Arabidopsis thaliana: one gene and its partners. The protein of the gene in region 1 binds, or shares a complex with, the protein of each later gene. Each region holds a gene or a part of one and is shown in the gene's direction. Other genes may lie near its edges.

Region 1 (2,751 bases):
TATTTGGAATCGTCTTAGGTCTAATTCCTATTACTTTGGCTGGATTATTCGTAACTGCTTATTTACAATACAGACGTGGTGATCAGTTGGACTTTTAATTAATTAACATCTCGTTTTTTTACTAACCTCCTTCTTGCTTTCCTATGCGGGAGGTCTAATTCAGACTGCTGCTCAGTAATTTGTGAACAGTGGAATTTTGATACAATCTATGAAATCACGCTCTGTAGGATTTGAACCTACGACATTGGGTTTTGGAGACCCACGTTCTACCGAACTGAACTAAGAGCGTTTTTCTTTTTTTTTTTTTCTAAAAAACGAAAAGGCTAGAAAGAGGGCATTCTTTAACCCGACTCGATTTTGTACGTATATACTATATCATACATAGTATATCATAAATTTCAGAATTAAATGTATGTCCGATAAAAAAAATTGATCAAAATAGATACCTCGTTACTGCTCTTCTGAGCAGTAATAGGTAGGGATGACAGGATTTGAACCCGTGACATTTTGTACCCAAAACAAACGCGCTACCAAGCTGCGCTACATCCCTTTCAATAGGTTTACAGTGTCATTGTAGAGAATTCCTGTCTTGTTTTCCACATCCTCCTTCTTTTTTATTGGTATATCAAATTCATTTCTTCTTTTTTTCTCATATCAGATAACAAAGATATAATTAAAAAATTTACTTTTTTTTTTTTTTTTATTCTCTCAATTTTACATAAATAGGCCTTTACGTTTTCAAATGGAATCGATAAGATCGTTCTAGTCGACAATATTAAAATTCTAATTTTGAAAGCGGGGGGACGGAAGTTACATATACAAATACAAGAACTTCTTAATTACATGTACATCTGTAATTATATATATTACTATATATAATGTAATACAATAAAGAAGAAAGAAGGAGGATTTCTAATGCGAGATCTAAAAACATATCTTTCCGTAGCACCGGTACTAAGTACTCTATGGTTCGGTTCGTTAGCAGGTTTATTAATAGAGATTAATCGTTTATTTCCAGATGCATTAACATTTCCCTTTTTTTCATTCTAGTTATTAACATCAGAAAGGGGTGAAAAATTTAGAGATACAATCAACAATCGGGGACTAACCCCCCCACCTTTTCTAATTAGTAGAATAAATTAGAAAAGGTGGGGGGGGGGGGGAAAGGTCATAAAAACGAGGGTTCAGGATCCAATGAAATTAGTAATAGAACGAAAAAAAGTGTTGCTAGGGAACCTATCAGATACTTAAAAAAACTACTGTACAAAGATTTTAAATATAGTTTTCACAAAATCATAAATCATTGTATTACTTATTTTTTTTATTTAATTACTAATAAATAAAATATTAATTGTAACGAAATATTTCAGAATTTTTTTTAGTTAACAGCTTCTATTTTTTTTGTTCTTGTTCTTTCTGGATCCTAAAATTAAAATAGAAGATTGAGGTGAATCATAAATCCAAAGGAGGTTTCATGGCCAAGGGTAAAGATGTTCGAGTAACAATTATTTTGGAATGTACCAGTTGTGTTCGAAATGATATTAAGAAAGAAGCCGCGGGAATTTCCAGATATATTACTCAAAAGAATCGGCATAACACCCCTAGTCGATTGGAATTGAGAAAATTCTGTCCCTATTGTTATAAACATACAATTCACGGGGAAATCAAGAAATAGATCAAATTGAGTGCTTGTATGTCAACTTTTATTTTAAGAACAGGAATAATGCTAGTATCTATATATTATTACATATATATAAATATAAACAAATAAATCAATAGAAAGAAATCTAATCCGATATTCTTAATTCTATATAGAAATTCTATCCTATATAGAAATAGAAATCGTTTTTATTTTGATCCGATCAAAATAGGATTTTAGAGATAAGGAATAAAAATAAAAATTATGAATAAATCTAAGCGACTTTTTACTAAATCCAAGCGATCTTTTCGTAGGCGTTTGCCCCCGATCCAATCGGGGGATCGAATTGATTATAGAAACATGAGTTTAATTAGTCGATTTATTAGTGAACAAGGAAAAATATTATCTAGACGGGTGAATAGAGTGACTTTAAAACAACAACGATTAATCACTATTGCTATAAAACAAGCTCGTATTTTATCTTTGTTACCTTTTCTTAATAATCAGAAACAATTTGAAAGAAGTGAGTCGACTCCTAGAACTACTAGTCTTAGAACCAGAAAAAAATAGACTTATTTTTCAATTGAATAACAATTCCAATCTGAAGGAATTAAAAAAGAGATTAATGTTTTGTTCAAAAAATCCAATCAAGAATAAAAATTTGATTGTTACGTCTGTGTCTATTATAAAAAAAAAAAGAAAAGAATCGTCGAAAAGCATAACTCGTTTTTTCGAAACTATATACTCTCGTTTTGTTTTGACGACTTTTTTTTTAATACTAATTTCTACTCTACCTTCCCCGAGCTCATTCTCCTTAGAACTCTATTTCAAATATTTTCGTGGATTTCTTCCAATCCCCTTATTTTTTTATGTCATTCGAAATTGTATAAAGACAACTCCTATTTAATAGAGCTATTTGTGCAAGTATTTTCCGATTAAGAAGTAATTGCTTCTTGTATAGATTGTGTATGAATTCATTATAACTATAGAATACCCCCATTTCGTGAATTACGGCATTTATTCGAGTGATCCATAAACGGCGAAAATCTCTTTTTCTTTTACCCCTATCCCGATGAGCCGAAACTAAAGCTCTTATTCTCTGTTGAGTCATA
Region 2 (4,154 bases), on another chromosome or scaffold:
ATTTGTTTGTTTACTAGAATTACAGTTTTTTCAAACAGATAAATAATCATATTAATAATAACATTTGCTAAATTTAGTTAAAAGAATCATGGTGTTACTTTTTAAGTTTTACTGGTTTGCTTTCAAGTTTCAAGAATGATTGTATAGTACTTTCGGATGTTTGATCTTTAAAACTTGTTGGTACAGTTGGAATGCTTTATTGGAAATATCAAACTATCACCAACGCTAACATTTCTATTCTTTTTGAACTTCATCAAGAGCCAAAGCCCCTGATCGGCCTCACAAAAGACACCATTTTCTTTGGTCTCCGGCAACAGAACATGGATTGGAATCAATCCCTAATCAAACCGGGTCAATTTGGCTTAGTCAAGAAACGTCCCTCTTATGTAACAGCTGTTCCAGAACGGCAGAACATTCACGAACATATAAATGGGTGTCCACTAACAAATTCAAACACATAACCATGATCACTCTGTCCTTTTTTCCATTTTTTTAAATATTCAAGTAAACAACATGTAAATTATAACGAATTTAGGTCGTCTCAACATCATGACTCATTCACATGCGTTGACTTTTAACCCACTAAACATTTTTTATAGGACCCCTCTCTCTCTCTATAAATTCGACCCCCTTTGTTGATAGATCATACAGAGAACAACAAAGAAAGAAACCAAATAAGAAGAAAAAGGAGAAGAACATTCAAATGGCACCAAGAAGTTCTTTGATCCGCTTCGCCTTCATCTGCATTGTCTTGGCCGTGATGGTCATGACTGCTGAGTCGCACAACGGAACCCACCACCATGGTCCGGCTATGGCTCCAATGCCACCCATGGCTAAGGCTCCGTCTCCAAGTGCCGCCACTTTCTCCGCCTACCCTCAGCTCATCGCCACCGCATTGGTCGCTGCTATGTCTTTCGTCTTCTGATGAGATGTGTTGCCATTCATCTTCAGAATATGTTTTACTCTCTATGAGATTTTATTTTAATTTTCACATGTATTCCTTCTTTTTTTGTTAATTCTTCAAAGATTGTGATGTTGTGTTCCTATCATAATAAAACATTTATCTCTTGATGTTTTTTTTATTATCTTAATCATATTTTCCTCTTTTTCGAACCAAATCTTCTAATCAAGGCATTATAATGGCCCGTTTGAGAAAAGGTGGACTTTCTTTTTAAAATCAACTAATTCATCTTAAGGTTATAGAATAGATAAATATCCGAAGTAAATATATAAAATAAATTGGGTCAGCCTAAACAAAATAATGAAATGCAGGCCTTACGTGACAGTAATGGGTACGCCTCAACAAATAATGGTGTATTCACTATTCAGACGTTGGTGTCAAAATCAATGAGTGATATCCTTATTAGAAGAACGACAAGCTTTAAACTAGTTTCATGTGTAAAGTACGAAACAATAAACATCATGAAAACACTCGAAATATTGTAGTAAACTTGCCAACAAAACCATGAGTACAAGTGTACAACTCCAATGAATCAGATATATATGCAAGATGGAAAAAATCCCCAAACACCTTAAAATACAACAACATGTGACAATAACGAAGTGAACGACCATCTCGATAAATAGTTAACAAGACTCATTCTCATCCGTTGACTTTTCATCTATACACTTACCATTTTTTTTATACAATCTTTTTCTATCATGACTCTATCCTCAATAGCTACGTGCCCACATGGAGCCAAGGCTCATGCCTTTCGTCTTCTGATCAAATGTGTGTCATTGATCACACCATTCATCTTAGTTGTTAAGAAAATATCTGTAAATCATTTTTTTTTTCATTTTATAGTTGTATCACTTTATTATAGTCCACTCGGTTTTTGCATTTTTGTTATAGTCCACTAGTTGGGCCGTGTTATACAATAGCGAGCCTATCTCAACAAAAAACAAAGCCCAACAAGTATTTATTTTGCCAGTTTTGTAAGCAATTAATTGAATAGAGTAAGTAGAGACGGAGCAAAAACAAGAGAAGCGTTTGGATTCGACGTTTGCCTTATCCGTTCAGCTCATCTTCTTCTTCTTCTTCGTCACCTCTGAATTAGTTTCCCAGAATCCGAAATTCCTAGGAAGAGAACATAACAATGGCGCAGATGGTTGCGATGCCCGTAGCGCACTCGCTCTCACTCATTTGCAATTGGGCAAAATCCAATCCTCTCTCTCGCAACACTCTTGCCCTCCCAGCTTCAAACACTCCCAATGTAATCATTTCTCTTGGACTCTCTCTTGCGTATGATGTTGTAATTTATCGAGCTTGACTTCATGTTTTTTTATGTGTTACTTCATTCTTGTTCGTCAATTTTTGGGTTAGGGGTGGTTATAGAACACTCCATCAATTTTTGGGGGAATTTGTCTCTGTGTTTTTAAAGTTTTTTTTTTTTTTTGTAATGAAATGCAGAAGCAGAGTCTAAGCATCAGATGTGCTCGTGTTGGTGGAGTGGAGATTCCGGCTAATAAGAGAATTGAGTACTCTCTTCAGTACATTCATGGGATTGGTCGAACTAGGGCTCGTCAGATTCTTGTTGATCTTCAGATGGAGAACAAGATTACTAAAGACATGGCTGAGGAAGAACTCATCATTCTTCGTGATGAAGTCTCCAAGTACATGATTGAGGGTGATCTGGTAATACACTTTCCCTTACATTTACACACTTTAGGACATGAGTAATGTGCATCATAGTTTCAGTTTCTGTCAGTCCATTCTCGAGCAGTTTCTTGAAGATTGGAGAAGAACTTAGGCTGCTATCTATTTGGTGTTTTCATTGCTTTAGTTTGGGTTTCCTCTTGTTTTGATTTGGTTCTTAGGCCTTTGTGAATGAATTATTGATTTGTGTTGTGGATGTTGTGCAGAGGAGGTTCAATGCTCTTGCAATCAAGAGGTTGAAGGAGATCCAGTGTTACCGTGGGGTAAGGCACATCCAAGGGCTGCCATGTCGGGGACAGAGAACCAAGAACAACTGCAGGACTCTTAAAGGCAAGAAAATTGCTATTGCAGGGAAGAAGAAAGTTTCCAAGTAATCATCTTCATGATCTCCTTCTTCTTCTGTAATACTCTTTTTAGTTTGTCTAGTCATCTCTGTTTAAATGTGATTTGTAATTCCCAAACCTTTGTTCGAACTGAGCCCTTTCCAGTTTATCTTCGGCTTTTTAGCTATTATTATTCCGTATCTTCATCATTCATTATAAAGTTACAAAAGAAGTTGAAGATTTCAGCATTCAAGAATGATGACAAACCAAGAACAAACTTGAAAATTTGGTCGAACCAAAAATGGTTTATTCAGAATACGTACATATGAATACATAAGTAACCAAAAAATAAAATTTTATAGCTTTTGCCAAAAGACTCGATCTTGGATTGTCTCTAATCCTACCCAGAAAATCTTGCTATCACACAAAAAAAAGGAAGAAAATGAATAATAACAGGGTAAAAATTTTCAGTAAGAGAACTCATGGCCGCGGAGTGAAATGTATTTCTTGACCCAAATGGCAATATCTTCGGCGCAGGCCTGTGCCTGAGGAGTCTTGAGAAGCATATCAAGTGTAGCAAACTCATGAACTGCGTCTTTGTATTCTAAAACTGGAGAATCTACGTTTACCTTTCTAAGCTCTTCTGAATAAGCAATGGCTCGGTCTCTCATCCAGTCATGCTCAGCTACTACTGTAAGTGTTGGAGGCATTAGCTTCAGAGGTGGTCCACTGCGGTTATGGGCAAGTGGGTTTGCTGCCGGGTGGTCAAAGTCGAACTCTTTCTCTGGTAAGAAGAGTTTCCAGGCTAGAACAGAGACAGGCTTATCGTAGAAGTAAGAGTTTGCCAGCTTTATTTCGGACTGTGTTGGGTTGTTTCCAATGAAAAAGGGGTACATTAGAACCTGTGCAACAACTTTCACCGGTTCTAGAAGTTTCCCAGCTTCCACTGCTTTCCGAGCTACATAGTCTGCTATGTTCCCACCACAGCTCACCCCGAGAAGAACACATCTGTTTTAACATCATATGAAGCAACAGGTTGAGACACAGAAGTTGATGTGAGATTGCAATCAATGGAAGATAAGCTATCTTAGTTCATCTAACTAGTTGTCCAAAGAATCCTGACTTTGTACCAAGTTACTCCTAGATCAACATGAAACTATTCTTAAGATCTT
Region 3 (3,886 bases), on another chromosome or scaffold:
TTTTCTGACCCAGAGATTTCCAGGAACATAACAGAAGAGAAGAGACAAGCAGTGAGAAAAGTCGAATCTTACACGATACGCTCCAGCTCTCTGGCGTAGCTTAGAGTCTGGTTGATGAGTTGCAGAGACGGAATCTCTTTGCACGGTGCAGTTTCTTTGGCTTTCTGGAAGACAACAAACCCTTCCTTCACTTCCCACTCAGGATGCTCCTATAAGATTTGATAAAACCTAAATCGCGTCAATGGTTCATGAAACTAAAAAAGATTCTAAACTTTGCACAAAATGTTTTTTCTCTTACATCTGTGACATAGGTTAAGAGTTCTTGATCAGAAGAGAACAACAACATCTGCCGGGCATCGCTGATAGAGACATAATCATAAGCTTTCTCGCTGCATCCAGCTATTTCATCTCTGTGAATTCAGTCATAACAATAAAAAGGTGAGATAACACGCGAGAAGACATAAGACTGAACTAATTCAGAGAAGGACAGACTCATTGATGCTACCTTATGGTCTTTGCCAAGAGATCCATGAAATAGACGTAAGTTGCATCAGGCGCGGTCTGTCTAGCACTCAACACACGGTTATAGGCACCCTCCATGAAGGATTGCTCAAGCTCTACTGCATGCTTGATGCAAGGATCCTCTAGTGTAGCTGATGAAAGTAATTCAAGCTCGGTGTGGAATTCAGCAATTCTATTTTGTACCAGCAGCCTCAGAAGGTTAAGACCCAGGATAAGATTCTCCTGTGGAGACTGAGGAATACGGTTCCTGGTGCAGAGGAAAAGAAGATATGTTAGACCAAAAGAAAATGAAAAAGATAATGTTCAGACAGTTGGTTCTTTCTTTACCTGGCATCCACATAGTAAGGTTTCAGCTGGAAGAAATCTCTCTCAAAAGCATCTTGATCCTCGGTTTTGACGCTTAGAACAACAGCATGCTCATAAATGTCCCCTAGAATACACCAATTGTCAAAGTTTTAGAAACGGATAATCAATAAGAACAAAAATTACCAATAACTCAATCCAAACCAATGCAGCATTCAACGATTAATGTATACATATAGGGATAGACAGACAAACTAAAGCAGTACAATCCCTCAGACACTCTTCAGTGGTATTTAAGTATAGTTAACAAATAACTCATGAGAATAGACAAATCCAAAACACTCCATGCAATTGAAAGCAAAACTCTAAACTTACTAGCAAATAGCTCATGTAAAACCAATAATGAAAAAGAGAAACTTACTTGCAATAGTCAATTCCTTGGCTGCATTAGGTGAATTCTCGAACAATGGAGGAAGACTTGTGAATTTGGTAAGAAGAACCTGAAGAACACAACAAAACCCCAGCGACATCAGAGACTCGCACCAGTAAATTGTAAATCTAAACCAATCCCAACAATCCCTTAAAGTAGAAAGTTAAAAATTTCATAGCACTTAGCTCTTCTAAAAGATCCTTAACACACTTATATGCTAAAAATTCTCACTTCAATAAATCAAAGCTCTCATAGATTTAAACTCTCGCGACATAACCCATCAATTTTCCCAAAGTTGGTTCAATAAGCAGATATGCAAAGAAGTGAATTGAAACAAATTAGGGTTCAAAGAAGAGAGAGAGATGTAGACCTTAAGCTGAGACAACAGATCGCTACAGGTATTGTAATCCTTCCTCGCAAACGCCGCCTTGAATCTCTCGAACTGCTGTGAAACTTCAGTTAGCTGCGGATCCATCGCTTCTATGGTTTTTTCTCTTCACCGGCGACGATTCTTTTCTTATAGATTTGATTGCTCCGAGAACTGGCTTGATCGCGAAGACAAATAATACAGATAGAAATAATTGTCTTTACAAAACGGGCCTTTAACAGGCCCAATAACCTAAAAAGGCCCATGGTGTACAATAGAATTCTGACTAATGTGTACCATCATCATCTCTTATCCAAATTTTACTCTCTCATCTCCTCTTTGCTTTCACAATCTCACAACAATGGCGTCTTCGCTGTGTGTATCAAATTCCACAATTTGCCCTCTGCCTAATGTATCTTCGCAGCCGCTGCTATCATTCTCCCACTCTCTCAGGCCATTCATTTCCAAGTCGAAACCTATGTGTGCCTCGATACAGAAGAGAGATGGCTCTCAATTTGTGGTGAAATCTCAGGCTCTTGACTTCTCTGGAACTTTCTTTGAAGGTGGATTCGGGTCGGATGATGACCCGACTTCTCCTTCCGGGTCGGGAGTCTCAACTGCCCTTGAAGACAAACCGGAACCTCAGTGCCCACCTGGGCTCAGGCAGTACGAAACAATGGCGGTTTTGAGACCAGACATGTCTGAAGATGAACGGCTTGGTCTTACCCAGAAATACGAAGAGGTAAGTAAAAGTCTCCAACTTTACCTGTTTTCTGTTTCATGTCAGAGGGAAATTTGATTATTTGAGAGAGAAAGAGATTTTAGGATTCAATTAGAAGTTGAGTAAGAGATCACTAAAAGTTGTATCTTGTGTCTGTTCTTACACGTTAATGACAAAGCAAGAGAAAATGGTTTCAATGTAGAGTTGTGTAACTTGCAGCTATCAATTGAATGTTTGTGACGACTCCTTGTTAAAATTGAAGTAAAGAGTTTAACTTTCTAAGAGCAAATCTCATCCTTCTGTGGGCTGTGAATTCTTTAAGTCTCAACCATTTGAAACAAGATAGGAGCCCTTAGTGCACTTCTTAGTTTTTTAGTCATGTTTTACCATAACATTTTAACTCAATTCTTGAAATGTCCTTTGATGCTCGAAACGAGCTAATACACAGTTATCATTTGTGGTTTACGCGTGGGTTCTTTTACGCTATATCACATGTTTAATCTAATGAGGAATTCTGAAATTTATGTTCGGAGTAGTGGAAGTTTTTAGTTGGTGCAGACTCTGAAAGATTCATTATGTTGCTGGGATTTCTTTTTGGTGTGTGTGGCAGTTGCTTGTGGCAGGAGGTGGAATGTATGTGGAAGTGTTTAACAGAGGAGTGATTCCGTTGGCTTACAGCATAAGAAAGAAGAACAAAGCTGGAGAAACCAACACTTACTTGGATGGAATCTACCTTCTCTTCACTTACTTCACCAAACCCGAATCAATAGTTCCACTCGAGACCGTTCTCACTGCCGACGATGACATTATCCGATCATCTTCCTTCAAGATAAAGAAGAGGAAGTACAACTGAAGACCATGAACATTGTGTATGTGAGAAAAATGTCAGATTCTTTTTTTGTTTCTTTGTAAGAACAAAAGTAAATCTATCTTTTTTGTATCTTTTTTTGTGCATTGCTCTGCTTTCTTATGTAACTGTGAGAAACTCTTAAAGCTAAGTTTGAGAAGCATACTTGTATGCATTTTCATTAAAAGATTTTAACTAACACTAACTTGCCATAGTTACTATAATGATGGAATTCATATTACTCTGTTTCATAGCACAAAATCCTCAACGGATGCATAACAATCAAACAAAATAGCAACAAAGAACAAATTTGTAAAGTATTCAGGCAGAAGTGACTTTGTTTGCCAGCTTTTACCTTCTGACGATCCAAACTTAAATTAGTGAGATTGTTGAACTCCTTTACGTAATTGATCAAAACCATCAACATATACGAGTGAGAGACCTTGCAAGCTTAGCATTATAATGGTTCACGTTCATGCTTTAACATTTTATGAAAATCCTAGCATAGTTTCAAATCATTTTCAATTCCACAAAATCAAACGTGTCACATACATATAACAAAACAAACGGGACAAAGTATATTTGACACACCTCTATTTGCTTGTGTAAACTAATAATGTTCTTAATTAACAAAACACACGGGACAACGAATCAATCCATTCTCATTACACTTGACACACCTCTCCCACCTTTCAC

Evidence for each region.
Region 2: rps18 (region 1) and EMB3137 share a complex: the UniProt entries of both Arabidopsis thaliana proteins name them as parts of the 30S ribosomal subunit.
Region 3: rps18 (region 1) and AT1G64510 share a complex: the UniProt entries of both Arabidopsis thaliana proteins name them as parts of the 30S ribosomal subunit.

The regions. Positions count from the first base shown.
Region 1 is NC_000932.1:66,014-68,764, forward strand, and holds rps18 (ribosomal protein S18), read left to right. Parts: upstream 1-1,903; coding exon 1,904-2,209; downstream 2,210-2,751. Other genes in the region: petG (cytochrome b6/f complex subunit V), read left to right, coding at 1-98; psaJ (photosystem I subunit IX), read left to right, coding at 916-1,050; rpl33 (ribosomal protein L33), read left to right, coding at 1,475-1,675; rpl20 (ribosomal protein L20), read right to left, coding at 2,499-2,751.
Region 2 is NC_003076.8:4,616,718-4,620,871, reverse strand, and holds EMB3137 (Ribosomal protein S13/S18 family), read left to right. Parts: upstream 1-1,890; 5' UTR 1,891-2,099; coding exon 2,100-2,216; intron 2,217-2,413; coding exon 2,414-2,638; coding exon of another isoform or gene 2,639-2,683; exon of another isoform or gene 2,684-2,865; coding exon 2,866-3,033; 3' UTR 3,034-3,449; downstream 3,450-4,154. Other genes in the region: AT5G14330 (uncharacterized protein), read left to right, coding at 321-433, 652-925; CXE16 (carboxyesterase 16), read right to left, coding at 3,450-3,990. UniProt on the Arabidopsis thaliana protein: Located at the top of the head of the 30S subunit, it contacts several helices of the 16S rRNA.
Region 3 is NC_003070.9:23,954,303-23,958,188, reverse strand, and holds AT1G64510 (Translation elongation factor EF1B/ribosomal protein S6 family protein), read left to right. Parts: upstream 1-1,884; 5' UTR 1,885-1,911; coding exon 1,912-2,364; intron 2,365-2,953; coding exon 2,954-3,196; 3' UTR 3,197-3,386; downstream 3,387-3,886. Other genes in the region: RPN12a (regulatory particle non-ATPase 12A), read right to left, coding at 69-209, 299-410, 506-769, 850-952, 1,247-1,325, 1,626-1,730; AT1G64500 (Glutaredoxin family protein), read right to left, coding at 3,813-3,886. UniProt on the Arabidopsis thaliana protein: Binds together with bS18 to 16S ribosomal RNA.